7 linked regions of the Xenopus tropicalis genome follow. The protein of the gene in region 6 interacts with the protein of the main gene of each other region in a biochemical or structural test. Links are inferred from orthologs where the notes say so. Each region holds a gene or a part of one and is shown on either strand. Other genes may lie near its edges. The genes, in order: arhgap32, cdc42ep3, wasl, bnip2, mcf2, cdc42 and arhgef7.

Region 1 (4,044 bases), about 22 Mb from region 6:
GTGAATACGTCCCACTCCAAAGGAATGTGCTGCAGTACTACTCACAGGCTGGATTTAAATCACCTTTAAATTAAGGCGAGCAAGATTTATTGGAACTTGCACCCTTTTGTAATGTTAATTATCAAATGGACAACTCACAGCATGAAAAGTCTGTATGCAAACTTATTTAATGAAAGGGGAATGTATTTAGACAAGCAAGCAAAAATAGACTAATTTTGAAACAAATTCAGAAATCAACCCCCATTTGTCACAACATACCTAGCACCTGATGAATAGCGACTTCATTTCAACTGAATCATTCCAATCTATATTTGTAACATAAAGGCAAGCAATAGGGATACCTCCTAATCCATTCGTGGGTGCTAAATGATTTGCTTCATTAGGTGGCTGCCACAGTTTATAGCACATATGGGCAGATTAAGCAGTTAATACAATCAGAAATAAATTGATGCACCTACAACAAGGAGAAAGAAAAAAATCTTCCAAAAATACTTAGGCCAAACACAATGGTAGCAAGGCGGCAATGAAGCCTCCCTGCTGCACAACATATCACTAGACACCATCTGCCCACTGCAAATCCCAACACGTAATGTACTGTTGCCTTGACATCTGCCTAGACTGTTGGGACAAAGGAGAAAAGCTGCTACCAGATATTACAATGTACCAAAATCTACTTCAGAAACCTTCCACCTTTTACTATAGGCAGTGGTGTAAGATCACCCCAAAGCAAAGAATTAGGGGTCACTGTACGGCACTCACGCAAAATCCCCCACCACTGCCCATTTCTGGCCAAGGCAGGATGAGTTCAGAAACATCCTCTCCATACATCCCAAACAGTTAAGCACCCTCATACATAATAACACTTGAGACATAGGGGAAGATATGCGGGGTAAGCCATGTTGCTGTTAATGGTGGGGGAGGCGATAACTGAGCCAGGCGTACGGTGACCTCCTTGACTTCTCGCCCAAGTGACGCGTTATATTGTAGGTGCGAGCTTCCCACACATAATAAACACGCAGCTCGTGAAAAAGGTGTTGTGTAAACACGAAGGAGCCACCATTCAGCGTTAGCACTCTGTGCCTTACACCCGTCCTACACGGAACCAAATAAAATAGCACGCAGTCACCAAATTCCCAAAGACCATCTCCCAGCAGGGACACGCCACAGCCTGCAATGTGATTGATCCTGCACCTTTGCACTAGTAAGCACAAGCGGGATCAGGGTCAGTAAGCTGAATGGAAGCCTGCAGAGACAGCAGCTATTAGCAGCGCAGATATAGGGGAGAGGGCAAGGTGCCCAGTCACTACTGACCTTTCTAATTCATCCAGCTTGCCCCCCGTTGCCATCCTGCCAGAAGTCGAAGGAACTGCGTGGATACTGGGAAAAGCAGCGAAGGCAGCGGCGTCGGTCCCTCCCTCCATGCTGCAAGATCACTGCAGGAGCCGCTTGTGATAGAGAGAACGCAGTAAAGACAGGGAACGGAGACTGAATGGAGAGAGGGGAAGGTACAAGGCTGTGCTGAAAAGCAGAGAGATACATCCAAGAGCCAAAGTGGAATATACTATCCATGTGGAGCCATGATTCCTGCCCACCTATGTACCTGGTTACTGGCCAAACACGGGGGCCATTACGGATCGGCGAGGCTGGGAGATGGCTGGACTGGCTGCTCTAACACTGCAGAGTTTCCTTTCTGAGGTGGCCACAAGCCCTTCAGCTGTTCCTTTGCAGGCAGAGGGAGGGGAAGAGCCACAAGACACTGTCAGAGGGAGGGAGGAGGGGAAGGCTTGGCTTCTCGGGGCATATTGTTCTCTTATTTCAACTTGTGTGAGCTTCAAAGGATTCATTGAGCTATTGCTCACGCACACACTATTCTCCCGCACAAAGGCGCTGGATTCTCCCAGATTGCTCAGTGCAGGTTGATGATGGGCATGAAGGCAGGGGGATGACGCTGCAGGAGCGCTGGGAATCTCCGCTTTAGAGCAGTCTCACTGCAGTTCCTATTGGGAACTTGTCAATAGATTGGGGGGCAGAGAAATAACGCATTTCCCGCGCAAACGATTTGGGGTGAAAGATGCAAAATTGGAATACTGCCTTTGTGCCCTACACTAATAGTGTTCCACATAGCTGTTATAAAGATGGATTTCTAACCAAGTTTGGAGAATGTCCTGGCTATGAGTCAAGGAGTGTATCAGCAGCACAAGTCTGGGCAGGCAGATGTTTTACAGCTTTTAAATTAACCCCTTTCATATAACTCAGATCTTGCATTTCTCTGTGGCTTTCTTTGTGGATCATGATTTGTCTAACCTGCTGTACAGCCATGAGTAACATTTTACTGCTATATAAATGAAGAATAATAATTACACTGGCGACAGAATTCATAAAACAGGTGTACATATATACACTGGAGTATTAAGCAGAAAATCAAAAATTTTATTTGATTAGTGTTTCTGCCTGTCACTTTTCAGCCTGAAAATGCAAGGTTTGAGGACAAACTCTGCCCTGTGTGTGGTGGGAGTGCTATTCCTGTCACAAAGTTTTATTCTAATACACATGGCTGTCTAAGAAGCAGGTTTTGGGCTGATTTACAAACTTAAATACTAAATTTCAGGTGTGCAGTTGCCACTAGCAACCAATCAGGTCTTTGTTTTTATTTTCTACCTTGTAGACCATACTTGTGCAATTTAACACCCAATATTTGTAACCAGAATATAAGGATCAGCAGTGAATGGAATAACAAGTTATTGATTCTAAGTTTTATTGTGTTCCGTGTTGTTCCTCTTTTGCATAGTAGCAAATGTCATCTTTAAAAAAAAAAAAAAAATTTCCCCTAATTTGTGAATGTACCCTAACAATTTGCTTGCTCATAAAAACCTTCCTCAAATTTGATCCACTCCAAAGGTGACAATAAAATCTGCTGTAAGACCCCTATTTCCACTTGCAAAACCCATAATAGCAGGTTTGCACTAGCACATTTGTTTGTATAATGTATAGTGCCTGTTAAATAATCTAAACTGGGTCTAGAATGGCACCAAATGTTATGTACAGATAAAGGTAGAAAATTGCTTACTGTATTTTACTCAGAAGGCATGCATTTTATATCCATAGATGAGTAAAGACCAGAGTCTGCTTATTTTGTCAATATATGCAGGGAATGGCACGCAAACACAGGAAAAAGTCTTTGTAAACAAGCAGAGGTTTGTGGCAAATAGATCTATCTACCTACCTATCTGTGATGTCCCCCGAAGTTTTCTCAAGACAACTTCCAGCGACTGCGGGACATCGCAGCAGCGCATATGCCATCCCACCGGCAATTTACATTCTAGCCGGTGGGATGGCATTGTGGGAAGATTAGTTGCCCGCGACAGCGAAGTCGTGGGGTGACTAATCTCTCCATGTGCCACTGCCTTTAATATACAGAACTTCTCTTAATTTGTTGCCTTACTGGTTTACAGCATAATGTTCTAAAACCAGGCCAAGGTTTGTGCTGATAAGCCTTAGGCACAAATTTGCGGCAGAGCAGAAGCATACTGGCACGGCAGTGTTACTTCATTTTTGGGTGAGTGGTTCCATGGAATGAGACATAACACAATTCTGAGGTTTACTTGCATTAAACTTACCAGCTCAGTGAAATGTACATTTATTTCTGTCAGTGTAAGGTGGTAATAAAGCATGGAGACAATGTGCAGAACGTGTTTTACATACTGAATATGGCAGACACTAGCTATTAACTATATTTTAGGAAAATATCTACACTGCCTGGAAGAAAATTGCATCTGCTGTAAATGCAGGAATATATATACAGAGATTAGTAAAGTACAACTAAAAATTAAATTTAGGTATCAAGAAATAATATAAGCAAGTTATAAAAAAAACAATACAATTTTTAAAATAGCACAGCTTGCATTACTTATATCAGTGTGTGGGTGTATATTCATAAACATAAATTGTTGTTATATGTCTTGGGAACTATTATCCCTATATTTAGTCTATAATACTATTTAACCTATTTTCCCCTGCAGCAATGACATTTTCAAGTTAATAGAA
Region 2 (2,997 bases), on a different chromosome or scaffold from region 6:
CAACGCACATACTATACCCCTGAACAATGTAGGTCTCTATAAACATAACAGCTCATATGTTAAAGCCTGCTTCAGCTAAATAAAACATTTTCATAAAAATATACTTGCAATTGAGTTATTCTAAATAGAAAATTGCCATTTTACATCAGCCAATTAATGGGCAAAGTTATGTCTTTTGCTCCCAAAATGCAGTTACAGCTGCATTATTTCCTGTCAGGTGGTCTCAGAGGGAGCACACAGCCCATCACTAAATGGTGGCTCAAGGGAAAAGATGTAAAAAGGCAATATTTGATGTAAACTATTATTTAAGTATTGATTCTAGAGGTATAGTATTCCTATGTTTCTAGTGGCCTAGTGTTCCACATTAAGAAAACTCCAGCTCCCAAATATTCTATATAATCCACACTTGTACTTCCTGAATGCAAGAAAGATTGTTTCATTCCTCTTCTTCTTGCACAAACCCATAAATACTAGTAGGAAAACAAACCTGTTGAAGCAGATGCTTTAGCATCAATTATTTTATTTAACAATATGAGAAACCAGTGCTTTGCTTACATATGAAACATATATTGCCTCATACATCTGTAGGACATAGATAAGAAAAAAAGTATAATACATATTTTCTCAAACTGTCACAAAAATATACATTGAACCTGCGATGAAAAATGTGAAAGCGATAAAAAAATGGTGATGGGATATCTATAAAATACAAGCTTTGTTGTAAAAATACAAAGGCACATAAAGGATATTTAAATGAAAATAATTTAGTTATGTGCTGCGTAGCAGAACTTTAATGGCTAAAATATATATACTGGGACCAGGACATAAAGTCTATGGGGCTCCAGGCAAACTCTGTGAGCTGTAACATGGCAGCATGGTGATTCCTGGTCCATCCAAAGACTTTCTGATGCATGCAGCAGAAGCTGATGATATGGCACACGTAATGTATAAGTAATGATACTTAGTGCTGTAATTCAACAACAGTGAGAGGACCATGGGTCTATATATTTATCTGTCTACATTCTCTTCCCTTCTTGCAAACAAAGGAATATATTACTATACATTTCTTCTTCAGAGTTCATTCTTTCCGTACATAAAAAAAAACTATGAAAGAGTAGACAAGTATCTAAAGTGTCTCACAAATACCAAGATTGAAAAGGAAATCTTTAGTATATATACTGATGATGAAAGAAATACGGCGGTGCAGATATGTAAACAATAAAATATTTGAATTATTCAAATCTATGGGTAACAGACTTTATATATGTACCATGTCTGTAAGGTGTGGAAGGCCTGATTGTCTAAGCCTTGCCTTTGTCCATTACATGAAGCACCTCATCCAACAAAGATGGGCCAAGGTCAAGTTGGAGGGTGAGGAGTGAACTTGCCAGGTCAGAAAGAGGCTCTTCTGGCTTCATGTCTGGGCTCTCTATTTCACATGCAATATGGCTATCTTCAAACAAGTCACTAGCTTGCCAGTCATTATATGGTTCTGAGAGGCTGGAAGAATGGCTTGACCTTCCATTTGTAGAACACGAAGCTGAATTGCTTACTTTCCACTCATGATCAAACTGGTGTCCATTTTCATATGGTTGGCTCTGCTCAAGTAGTTTTTCCTCTAGCACAGGCTCACAGCTCAGCCGGGGTAACCTTGAAGGGCTAAAGGAATCCCTTTTAGAGTTGAAAGTCACTGTGGATAATAAAGGCAGAACCAAGGCCTGCGATCCTCCAATTGTAGGGAGAGAAATTGCATTTTTAAGTACAGGCGAGGATGTCTCAGAAAACACAGACTCACACGTGCTGTTTGCCCTCAGAAATTCACCGTGTCCATGATAATGTCCGTTTCTGGGTTTCCCTTGGTTGCCAGGCAACAACTCAAAATTTCCTTGAAGGAAAGAAATGTCACCAAACACATCATGTTGCCCATCTTTCCCAATGTGTATTGTGTGACGGAAATCCCCTAAAGGTGGGCTGATCAGGTCAGGGGACAATATATCCCTTAGTTTGAATTTTTTCCCCTTTTTGCTGTTGGCAGTTTTAAGATAAATGGGTGTCTTCGCTGGCATCTTGAAAGGTATTAAACGTGTAGATGTTGAATAAAATCAGCTTTATATCTCTGTTAGATTACATCATTCACTTTACTATCCCAGCCTCTGGTTTGCTCTTAAAGTCACGCAGAAAAACTTCTCCCAACACGTTGGCTGAAACTCACTTAGTGGCAAGTGCAAGCTCGTACTTCGTCTGCAGGCAGCACATCCATAAAGTTTCGCTTCTTTCCGCAAACCTGGAGAGGAAAGAAAGCAAGTTATCATTAACCAGTTTTTTCATGGCTCATTCATTCTTGTTTTCACACAACAATCAGTTATGGTGCTGACAGTTCCAGTCTACAGATTCGCTTTGTGATGTGGTTTCCCTCCATTAAACAGCATAAAAGTGACCAGATTCACAAGGCCACTGTGGCCTTTCTGTGACTTTCCTATATTTTTATGCCTGTGCCCCTTATTTACAACTCACTGAGCACATTTTTATTGGCAATGTCTAAGACATTATTTTTTTTTGGTCTCCTTAATGCTTCACAGATATTAATAAGAGCTGGGCACTGTTAATATCAACAAGGAAAATTGCACAGGCGGTGTATTACAAGGAAAATACATTACAACAACAAAAATAAGTCAGGTCTCAGTTTTCATTTATTTTCCTTTTACACTGAAAGTATTTATACTGTTATCAACAAGGAGACATTTATCTGGTGGTCTAGATTAAAGTATTCATTAATATGATAGAGTAAATCATAGCACAGGCATGGGATTTATTAATTAGAAAACATTTATCCAGAAATCTCAGAAATGACATTAAGTCCCGCAACTAAAGCACAGACTCAGCTACTCCATAATAAATCATAATTTAACCCTTTCCTAGCCAGTATTGTAGAGCATCTGGTATCCAGGTGAATACCAAATTCTTCATAGATTCAGCAGGATAACAAACCAAATCTAA
Region 3 (4,025 bases), on a different chromosome or scaffold from region 6:
AATGTATGTAAAGCTTTTGTTTTTGGTCAGGTTAAGCATTGGTTTGCTTCCTATTACTTAGTCCAATCTGCCAAGTCTATGGAAGGGACACTTTCGAAAATCGAGTAAGATGGAGGAGCAGCACTGCTTAAGAAAGTTTCCTAAAGTGGTGTATTTTTTTCTGAAAAGCAGCACCAAGGGGTAAAAATCATGCTTGATCCCCATGTTATTATTAGGGAAGAAAGATAAATACATGAGAAGGGTTATCATTTTTTCCAGAACAGATGGCACCAATACCCCTGCAGCAACTACTACCTGTTTGCTAGGGTAAATTGAACCCTACAAACCAGATAGCTTCTGAAATTCCAAACTGGAGAGCTGCTCAACAAAAAACTAAATAATTCAAAAACTGCAAAAAAAAAAAACAAAAAACAAACTAAGACTTATTGCAAATTGTCTAAGAATAGCACTGAGTAAAGGTAAACGTTAATTTTAAAGTGAATTACACAGACACACAGAGCTACTTAGTAGCAGCTACTTGTCAGGGCTACTAAATGGCATAAAATACCCCGCCTTAGACAATACAGAGAATTGCCTCTGCTAAAACACAAGTAGAGACAATTATCAGTAATGGTCAGCACTGTCTAGTTTTGTAGCAGTGACAAGTAGCTGCTTCTAGTAGCTCTGTGTGTCTTCACCCTCTAAAATTCCGCAGGTGCGAGCATGTGAGTGCCAAGGGATAAAAATATAAACATATAAGGAAAATAAATAGAAGCTACTTTATTAATAAAATGTATCTGTCAGGGGAAGAAGGAACACTAGGTAGATGGACAAGGGGAATGGAGGAAATACGAATTGGCTGCTATATTTGTTCCTATAGACAAGCAGTTAGACAGTAAGACGTTACATTATGCAAGTCAATTAATGTAAGAAGAGTAAAACTATTGGTTAACTAGAGTCAGCCCTGTTCCACATTATTCCGCATCTGAACAGCAGAACAGAACTGCATTGCCTACACTGCAGAGTAAACATTCTCCCATGATGTCTTGCGGCTCCGCACGGCCTCCGAAGCCTGGCGGAAGCTTTGTAAGGGCTAAATAATGATAATTGCGAAGGCCTCCGCACACGCATGCGCCGAGCACTTCCTAGTTTACTGTAAGGGCGCGCAGTGCTTTACGGGGCCGAGCACCTCCTGCACAGGCAGTAGCAGCGCCAGCCTGGTCATCCGGATCCTCCCACAACACGACGACAAGCGGCCGGGATATGAAGCGGCCCTGATCCTGCGCTGAGGGGCGATACTGACTTATAGAATCTCTGCAGGGACCGAAGGGAGAGATTCCCTGCCAACACTAATCATGAGTAACAATATCGGCCCTAATAATAACAACAACAGGCAGACCAAAAGGGTGACAAACAGCGGCTCCATACTGCTCACCGCGCAGGAAAATGAAAGTCTCTTTAGTTACCTGGGCAAGAAGTGTGTGGTGAGTGCGGCCCGGTTGTCTTTTATTCAAATGGGGGCAGTTCGCCAGTTGTTTTAGGACTACAACTCCCACCCCTAGTAGGCTGATTGGTACAGGGAATTGTAGTTTAGCAGCTGGAGGGCCGCAGGGTGCCAAGTCTTATTTTATGTTTCCTTGTATGCTGGGCAAGGGTGGCTACTGCCCTCCGTGTCTAAACCTCCTGGGCTGCTTTTTATTCTAGGATATTTTTCTAACCTGTAGTACTCCGGTTGTCCAGCTGCTACTTTTACCCCCCAGCAGTCAGTGGCTGCCGAATGATGGTCATTTTATTTAACAGGTTGAAAGTGGCAGCTTGCTGGTTTGGTATATACCAGGCATAGGGCAACTCGGCTAATATATTTCTGCCCTATTTCCATTGGCTGTACACAGTGCTTGGGGTGCCATTACTAACCAAGGTATTGCCCTTTCTTTAGCTAAAGCCCTTCCTGCTTGTTGAACTATTACCTTAGAGTTACTGATAACCACAATTATGGTTTGGTTTGAATTCCTCAGTAGCCAGATATACATATAACCTAATTGCCCTGCTGTTGACCAGCTATAACCAGCATTCTTAGCTAGCCAGACACAGGAAGTTATAACTACAACTACAGCAAAAGTTCCTAAATGTGTTAAAAGTGCTGTATTGTACAAGATACATTAGTGCGAATTTGCTGTTTTTTGATATTCTGCTATAGTATTGATGTGTGGTAATTACAGTAAATGACAATGAATGTTTGTTACTCTTTTGATATTTTTCTTGTTTGTATGTAGCATATTTTTGTGGTGCCCATTTAATCATTTAAAAATAAACAAATATATAGATACAGGTTCATTGACTACTGACTGAATTGACTTTAGTGTGTGAATATAATGTGAATGGTATAGAATTTTTTTTTATTTAAGACTCTATTAAGAATTTTTAAAACTCTGTACTAAGTACTATTAAACTCAGTTTTTATATAGTAATTAATGGCATTTTCTGTATATATCACTTTGCATCTCATATCCCCTTTTCGGTTCAGTTCGGTAGCTGTACTGAGCAGGTCCCTCTTTACCTCCTGTATCACTCAGTAATTGTTTCTAAATTTTGTATGTTTGATGTATGGCTGTTTATAGATGCTTGTTAATAATAAATAGTAATGATACATCTTTTATTGTCTTTGTCTTGCCCGATTGCTAAATATGGATGCATTCATATGGTACTGTAGGTTGCCCACAAAGGTTCTAGCACTGAATAAATGTTTGTTTAGTTGTATCAGAACTTTGTGTTTGTTGTGTTAGCCTTGGCAGCTGTATGGAAGTTAATACTACATGGAAATTTGTCTCAGAATAATCACAGTGAATCTCAGTTTTTTGGAAAGCACACTATACTGGTGAATCTCCCCCACATTGTACAATAGTGATAGCTTGACCGACATTTATTCATTCCATTTTCTCTGATAGAAGATAATGCTGGGACATTTTTACAGCAATGTTGTTGTGAAAAGTTATGGCACATTAAATGAATCCTTGGAGCTTTTTTTTTCATTATACTTATATTTTATTATATCTTTTAAAGATTTGCTTCCTAGTTTCTTTGACAGTATCTGATGCTGTAGTGCTGTTACTGTAGGAACAGAAAGCTAGCTTTCCATTGCTTAAAATGTTAGGCATCCCCAAGTGACTTTAATCACCTACCTTGTACCCTGGGCTGGTGCCCCTTTTAGGAGAAAACAGCCCGGGGTACCTGTAGCAAGCGCTTCCTGCTTCCTTTTCCGGCAAATGCCAGTGGTCGGCCCATGTGCAGTAGAGTGAAAAGCCGACTTTTCTGTTAAAGTTCGGCTTTTCGCTCTACTGCGCACGCGAAGCAGCAAGGAGGAAGCGCTGCAGCTACCCCAGGCTAGTGCTGTTCTCTCCGAACAGGGGCACCATCCCAGGGTACAAGGTAGGCGATTTAAGTCACTTGGGAGTGCCTAACATTTTGGCACCCCCAAGTGACTTTGCCTTTCGTTCTCCTTTAAAGAACTCATACACTCAGTATTCCTAGGTTGGCTTTGCTTTCAGAAGGATGCTGGATATTGTAGGTCCAAAGCAGCTGAAATTCAGAAGGATGCTTTTGATTGGTGGTATTGTTACCTGTCTGTTTTGTTCTTTTTAGCATTGTTTTACAGTTACCGTAAAGCAGTGATCCCCAACCAGTGGTTCAGGAGCAACATGTTGCACCCCCAAGCCCTTGGATATTGCTCCCAGTGGCCTCAAAGCAGGTGCTTATTTTTGAATTTCTGGCTTGGATGCAAGCTCTGGTTGCATAAAAACCAGTTGTACAGAGCCACATTTAGGCTGCCAGTCCACATAAAGACTACCAAACAGCTATTCACAGCCCTTATTTGGCACCCTCATGAACATTTTTTAATGCTTGTGTTGCTCCTCAACCCTTTTTACATTTGAGTGTGGCTCACGGGTAAAAAAAGGTAGGGTATCCCTGCCGTAAAGGCTTCTGCAGTCTTTCCTTCTTCACAAAATTTATATATGGTTCATTTCAGGCAGTGGTCACATTCCCCCTTA
Region 4 (3,500 bases), on a different chromosome or scaffold from region 6:
AAAAAGTTATTAGCCATGGAGGTAAGAAGAGGTACTTACATGTAATCTTCTGCTCACAATAAAACCATGCACTCATTTTATATTATTATTATTTAAATAGTAATTTCAGTATTACCTTTGCGGCAATGCACTGAGAAACATGTGTGATTTTAGTGTGAGGGCTACACTTTGGATCTATACAAAGTATGTAATGAGATCTCTAATGCATAATCATTGCTGGTAGTTAGTGCAATGGCAAATAAATAGCACGCTCTGCCTCCTGGGAAGGAGGTGGATCGCAAAATAGCAGCACAAGCTTCAAATTGATATTAGGTTAAAAAAAAAGGAGACTAACTATATAAATTACCACTTTTTTTACTTTACATCATTGACCTGTGAGTGCAGTTTTATATGATTAGAAGATGTTGTATTATTTGATAGATAGATAGATAGATAGATAGATAGAAAAGCCCAGAATACTCTGTTAATTATATCTTTATAAATTGTACCTAGTAATGGGATCAATTATAATGACTTATAAAGGACAATGAAAGGTTAATATAAATTAAAAGTAAGTCTAAAGGCATTCTTTTTAAGTACTTACTGCATATCCAAATTCCCAGATCCCTGCTTGCTTCTCTGAGATATGGTGCTGGCAGCCTACAGCCTACAGCCAGCGGCAGCCTTCCCATTCTCTGAGCATGTGTGTAACTTGATCCTGTCTCCTGTTCTGAGCTACACATGCCCACCAGCCAATCAGAAGTGGATCTGGCAGAGGGGAGGGGGGGAGGGAATGAAACACGTGCAGTATGAAGCAAGGAGGGAAAGGAAGGGAGAATACCTTTTTAGAGATGGCTGCCTGTTCTAGAAAATGTGAAGTAAGTGTGACTGAGTAAATATTTGATTAGGTGAGCCAAAAGTGTGGTGTTTTTACTAAACAATAGGAGGACTATTGGGCAGTATGCTTTTTAAATTTTGACTTGCATTCTCCTTTAATGTCAAAGTGTTGTATTTTCACTTGACTCATTGAAACTTGTGTATTATAATAAATAATGCACCCCTTGTGCTAAAATATGCGTATATTAGAAGTCACCTCAAAGTTCCATGACCTGTATAAGAGCATTTCAGCCTTGTGCTATATGGTCATGGAAAAATAAGGGGGTACATTATTCAATATATAATCCACAAATGTGGTCTGCTCCCTCTGTAGTTATGCCTCTGCACAAACATATTTTATTACACAAATGAAAAGATCTAGAAAATGAAAAACCTGTGTTTCTCTTCCACTGACTTATTATAATTATTTTCATTAAAGGTTATTATGGAGATGGATTAAATGCAATTATAGTGTTTGCTGTGTGCTTTATGCCTGATAGTGGTCAACCTAATTATCGCTACCTAATGGACAATCTATTTAAGTGAGTATTGCATTCTGTATTTATTATCTATATCAGTACGATTGTATATAAAGAATTATATACTAAATACTTTATATTTCACTAGCCATGTGTAGCCTGTAGAATATGTCCTTGGAAACTGTTTAGTGATGTTGTTAGTTATTGGTGCTGCTCTTTGGTGTCAGTTGTGTTACTTGAAGCACCTGGGCTCTACTAACACTGAACAGCTGTTGCTTTTCATTAGTCCAATGTTGGTAAAAAAAAATAAAAAAGCCAGTGTCATAAAAACAAATATACCCCTCATTTAAATTATATGCATATTAGAAGGCACCTCAAAGTTCCATAGGGCATGCAAAGCACTCGGCCTGCAGCATCTTGTCTTTGAAGCCCCTCAGTAACATTGAATATACTTATATTAAGTAAGGGGGTCATAATTTACCACACAGATTAGAAACAGAAGGTGATTAATGAAGTCTTGGTCCTTTTGTGTAATACTGCCCACGTGTGGTTGTCCAAACTGCACATATTGGGCAGAATGATGAGACCACTAAGAAATGGTGGCCCCATCTTGTTCCTGGTGACCCCATAAATGGCATTGGGGCTCATATTAGCAGACCAAAATTTTGTATTCTTATTTTTTTGTAATCATCTCTATTGCAGCCACATTGCTTTGCAGCTGTTAGACTAACTTGGTTGTGGATCCACACAGAGAATTTGGTGCTTGGTAGTTTGTGACCAACTTTATTCCTTTTTGCTACGCTTCATTCATTCTGTTCCCCATTTTATTTAGGTGATTGTTAGTACTATGCAACCAGCTTTTTACCCCTTTTTTTTTTGCTGTGTCTTTTTGATTTTGTTCCCAGTTTTGTATTTTTATTTTTCAATAATAATAAGTATCTCTGCTTATTCATCAGGTATGTTATTGGCACTTTGGAAATGTTAGTTGCAGAAAACTACATGATAGTTTATTTAAATGGAGCCACAACGCGGAGGAAAATGCCTAGCCTAGGATGGCTTAGGAAATGCTATCAACAAATTGATAGGAGGTATGTCTAAAGCATCAAATAAATTGGGGGCTACAGTTACAGATGTAAGTTGAATTATGTATTTGAATGCTAATGCATTCAGGTCAATCTGTTGTTAGGGAAGCACAGAAACCAGAATACAGTTTGGAATTCACAGAATCCCAGAAGTTTTTTTTAAAGATTAGGATTTGCCTAAAGCCTGAGCAATCAAGTATGTGACTTAACTGCACTGAACAAAGATGCACAAATGTGCACTCTACTGGTCAACGGTTATATATATTTTTCAATTTTGCTAGACTTATTTTCATGTGGCCTAATCAAATGCTTGTCTTTCTTTATAAAAGGTTACGGAAAAATCTCAAGTCTTTGATCATAGTACACCCTTCCTGGTTTATCAGAACACTTCTAGCTATCACAAAGCCCTTCATTAGGTAATAGAAATGAAATCTGATCTTCTATATTTAATTATTATATTACTACAGTAGCTACCATAATAACCATTGTTGTTTTATTTTGTTTTTAGCTCAAAATTCAGCCAGAAAATTAAATATGTCTTTAGCTTGGTTGAATTAGCAGAACTTATTCCTATGGAGTACGTCAGCATACCGGAATGCATAAAAGAGTATGTAATGTTCTTTGTTTATTTCATTTGTCATTGTGTAGTTAGAAACTTAGTTTGAGACAGTTATATGATAATATATGGTTTAATATTAGAAAGGCAAACAGCTCTGTGCTACATTGATTGCTATAAGTGTGATATTTCTTTTCCTGCTGCCAAATTGCCTTTAACATAAATAATTGGGTACAAGGAATAACCAAGATTCTAATTGTTTGTCCTATAAAACATATTTGATTACTTGTTTTTAACCATTACTGTATGGTTTATAAACTGCAATATCAAATAATACTGATATTAGGAAGTTTTGTCACTAAATTATATGCAAATCTTTAAGGCAATGTGCACAAAATGTATAATGGATACCGAAGGACACAATAAAAAGGAATTACTAAGAATTTAGAAAATAAAGTAAAGTTCAAAGAGATATAATTTGCTCATATACATTGCAATTTACTATTGACATATATCTATACTGATTGT
Region 5 (4,210 bases), on a different chromosome or scaffold from region 6:
GTGCCAGGGATACTATCCATTTCAGGGTAACTAGTTTGTGCCAGGGATGCTATCCATTTCAGGGTAACTAGTTTGTGCCAGGGATGCTATTCTTTACTGGGTAACTAGTTTGTGCCAGGGATGCTATCCATTTCAGGGTAACTAGTTTGTGCCAGAGATCCTATTCTTTGCTGAGTAACTAGTTTGTGCAGAGATCCTATTCTTTGCTGGGTAACTAGTTTGTGCCAGGGATACTATCCATTTCAGGGTAACTAGTTTGTGCCAGGGATTCATATCCATTTCAGGGTAACTAGTTTGTGCCAGAGATGCTATTCTTTGCTGGGTAACTAGTTTGTGCCAGAGATTCTATTCTTTACTGGGTAACTAGTTTGTGCCAGGGATGCTATTCTTTACTGGGTAACTAGTTTGTGCCAGGGATGCTATCCATTTCAGGGTAACTAGTTTGTGCCAGGGATGCTATCCATTTCAGGGTAACTAGTTTGTGCCAGGGATACTATCCATTTCAGGGTAACTAGTTTGTGCCAGGGATACTATCCATTTCAGGGTAACTAGTTTGTGCCAGAGATTCTATCCATTTCAGGATAACTAGTTTGTGCCAGGGGTTCATATCAATTTCAGGGTAACTAGTTTGTGCCAGAGATGCTATTCTTTGCTGGGTGACTAGTTTGTGCCAGGGATGCTATTCTTTAACTAGTTTGTGCCAGAGATTCTATTCTTTACTGGGTAACTAGTTTGTGCCAGGGATGCTATTCTTTACTGGGTAACTAGTTTGTGCCAGGGATGCTATTCTTTACTGGGTAACTAGTTTGTGCCAGAGATTCTATTCTTTACTCGGTAACAAGTTTGTGCCAGGGATGCTATTCTTTACTGGGTAACTAGTTTGTGCCAGGGATGCTATCCATTTCAGGGTAACTCATTTGTGCCAGGGATGCTATCCATTTCAGGGTAACTAGTTTGTGCCAGGGATACTATCCATTTCAGGGTAACTAGTTTGTGCCAGAGATCCTATTCTTTGCTGGGTAACTAGTTTGTGCCAGAGATCCTATTCTTTGCTGGGTAACTAGTTTGTGCCAGGGATCCTATTCTTTGTTGGGTAACTAGTTTGTGCCAGAGATCCTATTATTTGCTGGGTAACTAGTTTGTGCCAGGGATCCTATTCTTTGTTGGGTAACTAGTTTGTGCCAGAGATCCTATTATTTTCTGGGTAACTAGTTTGTGCCAGGGATCCTATCCATTACATGTGTATCAGGGATCATATCGGTTGCAGGGTAACTAGTTTGTGCCAGGATTTTTCTCATATTTCAGGGTAAGTAGTTAGTACGAGTTGGGACATAAGCCACAAGTGTGAGTGGGCGGTGCCTACTGAAAGCTTATTCCGCCCACTGAGCCCACATCTCCCATTCACAGAAGCCCAGAGCCAGTGTAGCGTTTAGCCTCCAGTTGGCAGCTGGGTGCCCTGCCGTGGGTGATCGCCTTCTCTCATCTCTTGGCTGGGGCTTGGGGTGACCCTTTGCTGCGGCACAACATATGGGCGGCCCGGCTCTGACTCCCCGCTGCCTCCTGCTGTGTGCGATCTGTCCAGTGACCCAGCCATCATGGCATCCCCGGATACTTTCAGGATCTCTGCGGTGGAAATGGAGAAGTACTATAGCCTGCAGCAGGCTGCTGCCCTCCTGGACACTGCCCTGGAAAGTAAGTGCTGTCTCCTACTTCCCTGCCTTTTCCCAGCACAGACTATTGGTGTCCCCTGCAGTATCCTCCGAGCAAATCGCATTGTTTTTCCATATAGAACTGCAATGCTGCATTCACACTGCTGTGAGCTTCTCTGCTCTCCTCCTCAGCACCCACAGCACCCACAGCTGTCCCTCCCCACCAAAGTTACTCAGCACCCTGCTCTCTCCACTCAACTTGCCAGTTACCACCCTGCGCACTCAGCGGACCCCCATTCTAACTTACAGTAAACTGCTGCTTTGGGCAGTACCTATCCTGTGACTGGGTGAAAATGCAATAGGATCATGTTCTTTCTGTAGTCTGTAATATTGCTAGCAGATTTTCAAAATCCGTGTCAGGCTATATGCGGGTTTATTGCTGCAAATAATTCTTTATGTGCTTAATTTCTGATTTCCTGAACTGCTTTCTGGAAATCTGTGATTCCAACAGTTATTGGGTTTCTAAAACAATAACATTCAGTAGCTGGTTGTAAGGGAGGGAAAATAAGGGGTTAACAGATGAAAAAAGTCATGATATGACATGTGTAGAGAAAAGGAAGGAGTTAATTAGACAGCAAGGAATTGGCAGTGTGGGGAAATGAGGAGGGTATAGAGAAGGGGAGGAGGTGGTTTAAGGGAGTAAAAAAGGGGTTAAATAGAGTGTCAAAAGGGGTTAATAGGTACATGAAGGGAGAGAGACAAGAAATTGTAAAAATTTGGGAGGAGGACTCCATCATTATGATTGCAGGCGAATCTTTAACAGTCCTCCCCTCCTTTGTGTGATATATATATAACATAGTAATATGTAATTGTACTTTACAGTTCCCATATCAATTAAATGTGTGAAGTAATTAGCTAGATTATAGTTATTGTGAAGCTCTCCAAAAAAGAAACTTCCTGTGGTGTGAGTATCGCCAATGCTAGTGCTTAGTAGGGTATTTTAAGGCTGTTCTGGAGGCCTGCTAGTGTGGATGTGGCCCTCTACATCCACAAGGAGGTTTTTGGCCCCCAGTTTGCCCAAGGGCTATGTCTCTATAGAGCTCTCTGTATGACATCATGATTTGAATCTAATCTGGCGCTGGTGCAGAATGACAAACAAACATCCCACTGCAGGTTAAAGAGATACTGACATTAGAATTTTTTTTTACTACTATCATAACATTGGCTTTGCATGCTATCTATAATTTTGTCTTAAAATATTTGCACCATACTTCTATATTATCTATCTGATCCCCATGTTCCTCTATGAGGGGCAGCCATATTTATGCTGCAGGAGTCGGTTAGCATTAGAAGCTATAACTGACAGTCAGGTTGGCAAAACAGTCAGGTTTAGGAACATCAAGTAACAATTACTTACAAAAGCAGCCCTATCAGTGAAAAATGATCAACATGACCTATAGGGAACTTTTAATGTACAGTAATATTTTCAAGAGTAGTTTTTGTGTCACTAGTGCTGGGCCATATAATGTCTCCCTAGCAATGTCTGAAGTTATATGTTTGTCCATGCTGAATACAGAGAACAATTGCTGCCTCTTAAGGTGCCCATACACAGGCCAATTCTAGCTGCCAATATCGGTCCTTTAGACAGATTTGGCAGCTTATCTGCCCGTGTATGGGCACAAATGAAGGCCCATACGCAGGGTTCAAATTTTCTGTCGATTCGAATCGATGGTGCCTATACCTGCCATTCTAATTCACAGAAGGTCAAAACTGCCTGCCCGGTTTTCCCAATTCAGAAAACCAGGCAGGATTCTCCAAGATTGGTGCATCAGTTGGCCAGTCTCCCCACCTTCCTGCATGGAGTTTCCGTGCAGGAGAGGCGGCTACACTAATTGGGCTGTTTGAGCCCCTATGTACTTAAATGCCAGGCAGGGGCGGGCCCTAGGCAACTTGGTCGGCCACCAAGCCCCCCCTCCCGTGTGCTTGTCATTAGCGGTGGGGGCAATGACTAAGAAAAAGGACTAGGCAGGAGAGGATCCTGCCTGGTGCCCCCTAATCGATGCGCCCTAGGCAGCTGCCTCTTCTGCCTACCCCCCGTTTTGGCCCTGATGCCAGGGCCCATTTTTAATCCCATTCCAGGCTTGGGGACACCAAATAAAGTTGCTGGGCTTTGCTGATTTCATTCAGAGCAACCAGTGCAGCCAGCTTATTTTAATGTGTATGTATGAAGCATCCCTTTATCTGATCATAGGGCAGTGATCCCTAACAAGTGGCTCGGGAGCAACATGTTACTCACCATGTTACTCCGCAGTCTTCTGCGATATCGGTCACCTCGCCGACTTGCAATACACGCACCCAAAAGCTTTACTTGGCACCCCCAGGAACTGTTTGCATGCTTGTATTGCTCCCCCACTCTTTTTTACATTTAAATTCGGCTCACAGGTAAAAAGGGTTGGGGATCCATAGCATAGGGAAATGCCTAATTGCTTACCTTGACTCTGGAATCCTACATAAACATTTAGAAAATGGAATATGAAGTGCTTGTAAATATTGATCTGAAT
Region 6 (3,500 bases):
CTGTCCAAGTGAAATATGGATTTTCTTTGTCCTGTCATTTTAGAATATGTCTGTTATTGTTGCCCATAATCTTATCACTGACCCTCTGTATGCTTTTCTAGTCAGTAGGTTTAATTTTGTGATTTTTACTTACATCTGCTTTTATGAAAATATAAGGCCCGTAGCACAAGTAACATTTCTCTTTTCGGAGGAAAAATGCCTGATAGCTTTATGTCGTTAAGATGGATGAAAACTGCCACCAGTGGTGACAGGTGGATTCTATTTACCTGAATGGCAGAGGCACAAATAGGTATTGATAGTTTTTCAGTTAGTTGACAAATGCTTACTGCAGTAGTGATAGGATGACGTTCCACTATATGGTGCTTAAAAAAGGTTGACTCCATGCTTACTACTAGACATGGTAACAAACTTTGGAACAATTTTCTTTAGTAAAATAAATCAGTCTATAACTAATGAACTCTTGTATGGCTAGGTTTAAATGGTGACAGTATTCAGCGTGCACTCTTTTTAACTAGTATTGCTCTCTTTCCACAGGACAGGAAGATTATGATAGATTACGACCTCTTAGCTATCCACAGACAGATGTGTTTCTAGTTTGTTTCTCCGTCGTGTCTCCATCTTCATTTGAAAATGTGAAAGAAAAGGTATTTTAAGTCATTTACTGTGATTATTCTTTTTACTATATTAAACTATCCTCAAACCAAAACTGTTTTTTTGTTTTCAGTGGGTACCTGAAATCACTCATCACTGTCCCAAAACTCCATTTCTGCTGGTTGGCACCCAGATAGATTTAAGAGATGATCCTTCAACAATTGAGAAACTGGCAAAAAACAAACAGAAACCAATCACTCCAGAGACAGCTGAGAAACTGGCCCGTGACTTAAAGGCAGTAAAATATGTGGAGTGTTCTGCACTTACGCAGGTGAGAAAACAGCAGCTATGTTGTAGAGCTTAATGCTCTCCAATGGTTATACTCTTAGACCTTCATTAACTTGTAGCTCTCAAGTAGATTGCATAATAGTTTAGATTTTGGACTAGTACAAATAGCTTGAAGGCTGATGCAGTATATTATAACTGTATGAGGAAGAAAAGGGTATTATGCCAAAAAAATAGAAATGTATTGAAATACAAATTCTGGTTCATATTATGGGATCAGCATCTACTTGATTGTTGTAGTAGAGTATTTTAAAACAGAAGATCAGAAAACACATTCCTTTTTTCTATATAAAATGTTATCATTTTGGAAAGTGCATTACAAATTTATGAAGACTGTAAATACACAATCAAACTGACTTTCCATGGAAGTATACAGGTATGGGACCTGCTATCCTGAACACTTGAGACCTGGAGTTTTCTGGGATCTTTCCATAATTTGGATCTCCATACCCTATCTACTAAAAATCATTTTAACATTAAATAAACCCAATAGGATTGTTTTGCCTCCTATAAGGATTAATTAGATCTTAGTTGGGAGCAAGTACAAGGTACTTATTACAGAGAAGAAGGAACATATTTAAAAAAAATTATTTAAAATGAAGTCTGCGGGACAAGCCCTTTCCTTAATTCAGAGTTTTCTGGATAATGTATACTATACCTGTATCTGAAAGGCAACCATTGTAAATAGATTTAGGAGAGTCCAGTTAGTACCTTTTGAAGTACCCTCTATCCATTTTTCATTTTATTTTTTGTTAACCCCTTTTTCTTTCCTACACTTCCTTTTCAAGGCATATATAGAACATGCTTGCTTTAAGACATTTTGTTGCCTCGTCTTAAAATATTATATTAACCTTGTTTCTTTAGAGCATGGGAGTTTTGTAGATTACTCTCATCAAGCCACCTACCCCATACAGGGCCAATACACCCAATTCAAGGAGTGTTCTCTTTAAAGAAACACTGTTGTTCCTGCTATTGCTGCAAGGTAATGTGCAGCCTAACAGCTTGGACTAACTCTTGTGCCTGCAGTAAACCTTCTGCTGTATTCAGGGGAATTTGCCCGATGTTTACATAACCTGCAGCCACTCAGTGCTTACATGAAAATAAAAGCTTTCTGCAGTTATGGTCTTCTACACAGTGGAATAGAACTTACTGGTCTCAACAGATTTAATTTACCACTCCTAAACTTTGTGAATAAGACAATTTGCCAGACTGTAGACTGCTTATCTTTCAGTTCCCCATGTATCCCCTCTGCCCTCAACTGCCTATAGTTATTCCCCTGCCTCTACATAAACCCAGTTGTCTTGGAAAATCCATTTCACTGGATTATTGCCTTGATATCGTATAGACCACTTGGCTTTCAACACAGACCTGCCAGATTATTTGGTTTACAGTGTTTTCCATTTTAGTAAAGTACATTTTTATTTTCGGTTTGCATTTCAGGTTTTTTTCTTTTTGTAATCACTTTTTTTCCTTTACTTTAAATTCTCAACTCAGCTGCAAGGGTTACGTAGAAGACTCAGTTTGGATCTGCCAACTGTATGCATGTTGTGTCTCTGTAAGGGCTCTGGCACATGGGGAGATTAGCCCACGACAAAACTCCCTGTTCGCGGGCGACTAATCTCCCCGAGTTGCCATGACCCGCCATCCCACCGGCGAACAGGTAAGTCGCTGGCGGGATGGCACGCGTGGCGGCGCGATTTCCCGAAATTGCCGAAAAAGACTCGCGAGGCTTTTTCGCTGGAGGGATGGCGGGTCATGGCAACTCGGGGAGATTAGTCGCCCGCAAACAGGGAGTTTTGTCGCGGGCGACTAATCTCCCTGTGTGCCAGAGCCCTAAAGCACTGTGGCACTATTTTAAGGATATTACTACTCGGAGCTAATTAACTGCACTTGGGGTGGCATCATGTACAGTATTTGGCATCATGACATCATGTACAATTTCTATTTCATGTAGGGTATAGCCATACACACACTTGTTCCATTTTGCAGCATGTTCCTTTTCAATCCGTTGGGTTATATACTTGGCTTGAACAGCTCCTAGGATAAATTTCTTTGTCTTGACATTTTTGCCCACACTTATAGTTTAAGCCTAGAATATAAATCCAGTTACTCAGCATTTAAAATGGCTTTCGACAATCCAACATTGTAATATGTAAGTGCCCCTGAACTTATCTTCTGCCTCAGAACATATTGCACCATTTCTTAAAGGTGTTCTGTCATGGCAAAACATGTTTCTTGTGCAACATGCAGGTAATAGTGCTCCTCCAGCAAAATCCTGCACTGAAAGAGCAAACCGCTTTTTTTTTTTATATTTAATTTTGAAATTTGATGTGGGGCTAGAAATGCATACTCTTAAGGTGGCCATACACGCACCGATATTATCGTACGAAACCTCGTTTCGTACGATAATCGGTGCGTGTATGGCATGTCAGCGAGCCGACCGATATCGCAGGAAGCTGCTGAAATCGGTCGGCTCGCCGATCGGCCAAGTTAGAAAATTTTGATCGGGCGCCATAGAAGGCGCCTGACCAAAATTCTCCCTTCAGAGCTGAATCGGCAGAAGG
Region 7 (4,128 bases), on a different chromosome or scaffold from region 6:
CACCCAAAAGGAGCAAGCAAAAATTGTATGCAAAAAAGTCACCCCATCCACAGTGCAGCACATCTAATTTAGAAATCCTTTCCAGCTTTGTCTATGCAAAGCCAATAATCAATTGCAATCTGATATACCCTAGATTATTTTTATTAAAGGCCTCCCAATCTGTCACTTGCTGTTGCCATGGCAACAGAAAGCTCAGGAGACCACAATCACAACATATGTGGCCTAAGCTCAGGAGAGCTAATTTATTATCCATGTAGTTAACCTTGAATGCAACAGCCACTAGGTCCCATCAAGACTTGTAATGTACAACCAACACAATGTATGCTGTAAATTCAATGTGTACAGCTTTAACCTACAGTACAATCATGAATAGGAATCATCAATCTAAAGGAAAATCCAGTTTACAGCTTTTTTGGTACATATTCCATATGCAAATGAATACAGACAGCAAGAAACTGGGAAAAGAACAAGTTGATTATTTAGCATATCAGCATTTTAAAGCTGGAATTATGAACCATTTATTGGTTATGTAGAGAAGAGTGTTTCAAGCTGGCTATACACTGAAAGATCTGCTCATTTGGCAAGGCTGCAGAATCCCTGATATGCCTACCTTGAGGTGGCCAGTTTTGGATGACTGGATCACATTTCTGGTATGGAGGCTGCAGGGACAAGGGATAAGGACCACATCAACCCAACAATGCACACCTCATCGTGTTTGGATTTTTAAACCTGCCTGATCCACATCTGGCCGATCTTTGGATATATATATCGGTCATGCAGGCCCATCTGAGAGCCCCATACAAGGGCCAATAAGCTGCCGACTCCACCTCTGCGCTCATCCATTATTAGTATATATATATAGGACATTAAGACATTCTGTGCATTAAGATACTAAAAATGCCCTCCCCTTTCTTGCCCTTGACTTGCCTGAGGTGGCTCCTCCAATGCCGCCCCACTCGTGCTTACCTTTACAGTGCTGGAGGGGGTTCAGGGGGAACTGCATTGCTAGCGTAGAGTGCAAACTCTTTATGCCGCCACTGGTACTTTGTCTGTGCTGCTGCCTGAGGTGAGTTTCTCAACTGGCCTTATGGTAGCAGCGTCCCTGTCTTTTGTCCATATATTGCAATATTTTTAAGCTGGCCAACTATGTTGAAGTCAACCTTGGTCTGGCCAGTCCTACACTCACTTTCATCTGATTCCTTCACAATTCTACTATTCATTATACATTTTTGATAGGGTCACAAGTTTTACCTGCAACTAGCTCACTTTCAAGGTTAAAACTCCCAGATGGTTGCCCTTTTAATGGCCATCACAGGGGTCACATGACTGTAGCTGGGAAGGGTGAAAAGGTGGCACAAACCACTCAAGTTACAGCTGTCAAATACCATATATGTTTATATTATACCCCGCCCCCCCCTCACTCAAGCAGAGGATGAGAAAGGAATGTATTTGTGTGTGACATGTTCCACTGCACACACTGTCAGGCTGGCCTTTGTCTGTAACATGTGGAATGGCAGGTACAAGCCCTGGGGATGCTCTGGTTCATGCAGTGCCGGAGATCTCTTGGCTGAGCACTGATTCTCCTGAAGAAGAGAGTGGCGACACTGCAGGCTCCGTGTGCAATCAAAAGCCACTTGACAGGCTGCCAGAGCGCCCAGCACAGAGCGGGGAAGAGGGGGGCAGCGAGGGAAGACAGGAATAGGAGGAGGAGGAGGAGGGGGACGGGGGAGCGGACCTGCTGCATTTCCTACAGCAGCGAGGCGTCATCATCTGCATCTGCCCGGGGAAGGAGGGATCAGCAGCAGCAGCAGCCTGGGTTTCATGTCCACCTACAAGGGGAGCAAAGCAGCAGCAGCCAGTTCCATCTACAAAGGGGGGAAGGGGCTGGATTTGAGGGATACTGCATTGGCTGCCCCTGCCCCCCTCGCTCTTGCAGTCTCTGGCTTTACGTGTCTGGCTGCCGAGCCATGAATTCTGCAGAGCAAACCGTAACATGGCTTATAACTCTCGGGGTGCTGGAGTCGCCCAAGAAAACCATCTCCGATCCGGAGGGCTTCCTGCAAACGTCCCTGAAGGACGGGGTGGTCCTGTGCCGGCTGCTGGAGAGGCTTCTGCCTGGCTCCATAGACAAGGTAAAGCCCCTGGCTGCCACTTGTGTTTGCTGTGACCGTGTGCCCACTTCTTTCTTCTTCTGCCCTCCAGGAGCTGGGCAAGCACTGCTGCAAGTTGTTTGCTTAGGGAGCTGGGCAAGCACTGCTGCAAGTTGTTTGCTTAGGGCACATTGCTCTCAGCAGGGGTTAACTGCAGCAGCATCCCAACCCCCATCAAGTAGGGCGGTGTGACCGACAGCTGGGGGAGGAGGGGATACCCTGTACAAAAACACAAGGAGGGGAGGCGGTGGCATTGCACTGGGGGGGGCAAAAATTGTTTGGGTCTTCCATGCTGACTTCAAGCTCCAAAGGAAGGGTCTACCTATCTCTCTATGTGTGTCTCTATCTGTGTAGTCCATCAACCATTAATCACCTCTTCTGATACTATCTCAGCTTTATAGTGTAGACAGGTATAGCCAGACACTACAGATAATCTATACCCATTGACCAAATATAAAAGCCAACATGGGAGCCTGCGTCCATTTAGTAACATAGTAAGTTGGCAGCCCATCCATTACCAAGCAAACATTATTTATAGCTTTTTAGGCAATACAAAATGAGGCCCTATGTATGCTAACAAGAGAAGAATTTTTTCCAGACTTACTGTTCAAGGACCTGATTTAAATAAATATTTCCCTATATGGTCTGTTTGGGTATTGCTTGTATTGCATAGGTGGCACTGAGGAGGGGGGTGCCATTGCACTCTAAGGTGTCACATGCTACTTGGCAGCTGATGCATATGACAGTTTCTCCTAGCTCTTTGTCAGAGTAGGATCTTCACAGTAGAAGGCTCCTCTTCAGCTTCTATTGGCTAAGACCTAAGCTTTCAACCAATAAGAAATCAGTGGATGTCTAAAGTCAATTCTGTGTCACTGAGTTATTGGCATTAAACCAAAGACTAAACTTCTTTGTTACTTTTTGGTATCTGTTGATATTTTGATAGAAAATTGCTATGCTTGTAAATGTTACTATTGTGTGTGTGCAGAGATAGGCCAGGGAAACACTTATATGCAAATCTTTTATGAATGATTTTATTTATGATTTTATGAATGCTACAATGCTAGTTTATTTCACTGAAGTGGAGAATATGAATGGTTCGTCAGACTGGGAAATCATTGGTTTTCCTGGTCAAGAAGTTGATTTTTTGCTTTGAAAAAAAACTCTTTGAATTTAAAGGGGATCTCCTCCTAAAAACTACTTTTTGCATAATGACAGAAAATTTAATTATAAACAACTTTCCAATATACATTGATTACAAATTTTCAGTTGAAAAATGTTAAAGTTGAAGCTGCATTTGTTTTTACCTTCCTGTTTTCTGTCTGCTGAAACAGTGTAGCAGAAGTTAGTTCTCCTCCAGGTCTGTTAATCAGCTTTCTTCTGTTGCATTGTATCAGAAGTCAGAACCAGTAGTGTACAGAATATAGACAGATACCAGACAGATAGTGCTACAAATAAATTTTAATGCATTGAAATGTTTTAATTAATGTATATTGGAAAATTGCAAAGAATAATATTGTCTTAAATTACAAATAAACAGTGTTTGTGAGAAGATCACCTACAATACTGTGTCATGTAATATATATTTTATGCCAGTAAGAACACTGTATAAATGGCCAGTGAGCACTCTATTAACCCCATATAACCTGTAAGATCATTGCAGAAATGAACAATGAAAGCTCCAAAAACATCACTGTAGAAGTGACTAATGAGCACTTCATGAGCACTTCTTACTGCCAGTAAGATAATTGCCGAAATGGCCAGTGACCACTCCATCTACCCCAGATATGCCAGTGAAATCATTGCATAAATCGTCAATGAGCACTCAGTTAACCCCAGATGTCCCAGTAAGATCATTGCGGAAGGCCAATGAGCACTGTATTAAAACCAGATATACCAGTAATAACATTGCAGAAATGGGCAATAAGCAGACTTCCCAGTAAGATTATTGCAGAATGGCGAATGAGCAAAGTATTAACCC

Evidence for each region.
Region 1: of the proteins of cdc42 (region 6) and arhgap32, one has a biochemical effect on the other in vitro, tested with the Homo sapiens proteins (3 studies listed by BioGRID). The link is inferred for Xenopus tropicalis from reciprocal best matches to the Homo sapiens genes CDC42 and ARHGAP32.
Region 2: the proteins of cdc42 (region 6) and cdc42ep3 form a complex in vitro, tested with the Homo sapiens proteins (2 studies listed by BioGRID). The link is inferred for Xenopus tropicalis from reciprocal best matches to the Homo sapiens genes CDC42 and CDC42EP3.
Region 3: the proteins of cdc42 (region 6) and wasl form a complex in vitro, tested with the Homo sapiens proteins (3 studies listed by BioGRID). The link is inferred for Xenopus tropicalis from reciprocal best matches to the Homo sapiens genes CDC42 and WASL.
Region 4: the proteins of cdc42 (region 6) and bnip2 form a complex in vitro, tested with the Homo sapiens proteins (2 studies listed by BioGRID, with this or other methods). The link is inferred for Xenopus tropicalis from reciprocal best matches to the Homo sapiens genes CDC42 and BNIP2.
Region 5: the proteins of cdc42 (region 6) and mcf2 form a complex in vitro, tested with the Homo sapiens proteins (2 studies listed by BioGRID). The link is inferred for Xenopus tropicalis from reciprocal best matches to the Homo sapiens genes CDC42 and MCF2.
Region 7: the proteins of cdc42 (region 6) and arhgef7 form a complex in vitro, tested with the Homo sapiens proteins (2 studies listed by BioGRID). The link is inferred for Xenopus tropicalis from reciprocal best matches to the Homo sapiens genes CDC42 and ARHGEF7.

Annotation. Positions count from the first base shown.
Region 1 is NC_030683.2:72,586,010-72,590,053, forward strand, and holds the start of arhgap32 (rho GTPase-activating protein 32), read right to left. Parts: upstream 2,801-4,044; 5' UTR 1,422-2,800; coding exon 1,312-1,421; intron 1-1,311. UniProt on the Homo sapiens protein: GTPase-activating protein (GAP) promoting GTP hydrolysis on RHOA, CDC42 and RAC1 small GTPases. May be involved in the differentiation of neuronal cells during the formation of neurite extensions.
Region 2 is NC_030681.2:42,316,922-42,319,918, reverse strand, and holds the end of cdc42ep3 (cdc42 effector protein 3), read right to left. Parts: intron 2,285-2,997; 5' UTR 2,067-2,284; coding exon 1,302-2,066; 3' UTR 501-1,301; downstream 1-500.
Region 3 is NC_030679.2:70,363,222-70,367,246, reverse strand, and holds the start of wasl (neural Wiskott-Aldrich syndrome protein), read left to right. Parts: upstream 1-1,225; 5' UTR 1,226-1,334; coding exon 1,335-1,463; intron 1,464-4,025. UniProt on the Homo sapiens protein: Regulates actin polymerization by stimulating the actin-nucleating activity of the Arp2/3 complex. Involved in various processes, such as mitosis and cytokinesis, via its role in the regulation of actin polymerization.
Region 4 is NC_030679.2:96,408,857-96,412,356, forward strand, and holds part of bnip2 (BCL2/adenovirus E1B 19 kDa protein-interacting protein 2), read left to right. Parts: coding exon 1-21; intron 22-1,294; coding exon 1,295-1,397; intron 1,398-2,290; coding exon 2,291-2,422; intron 2,423-2,745; coding exon 2,746-2,832; intron 2,833-2,924; coding exon 2,925-3,023; intron 3,024-3,500.
Region 5 is NC_030684.2:70,020,553-70,024,762, reverse strand, and holds the start of mcf2 (proto-oncogene DBL), read left to right. Parts: upstream 1-1,410; 5' UTR 1,411-1,595; coding exon 1,596-1,692; intron 1,693-4,210. UniProt on the Homo sapiens protein: Guanine nucleotide exchange factor (GEF) that modulates the Rho family of GTPases. Promotes the conversion of some member of the Rho family GTPase from the GDP-bound to the GTP-bound form. Isoform 1 exhibits no activity toward RHOA, RAC1 or CDC42.
Region 6 is NC_030683.2:94,425,887-94,429,386, reverse strand, and holds part of cdc42 (cell division control protein 42 homolog), read left to right. Parts: intron 1-534; coding exon 535-644; intron 645-724; coding exon 725-922; intron 923-3,500. UniProt on the Homo sapiens protein: Plasma membrane-associated small GTPase which cycles between an active GTP-bound and an inactive GDP-bound state. In active state binds to a variety of effector proteins to regulate cellular responses. Involved in epithelial cell polarization processes.
Region 7 is NC_030678.2:116,995,143-116,999,270, reverse strand, and holds the start of arhgef7 (rho guanine nucleotide exchange factor 7), read left to right. Parts: upstream 1-1,328; 5' UTR 1,329-1,967; coding exon 1,968-2,132; intron 2,133-4,128. UniProt on the Homo sapiens protein: Acts as a RAC1 guanine nucleotide exchange factor (GEF) and can induce membrane ruffling. Functions in cell migration, attachment and cell spreading. Promotes targeting of RAC1 to focal adhesions. May function as a positive regulator of apoptosis.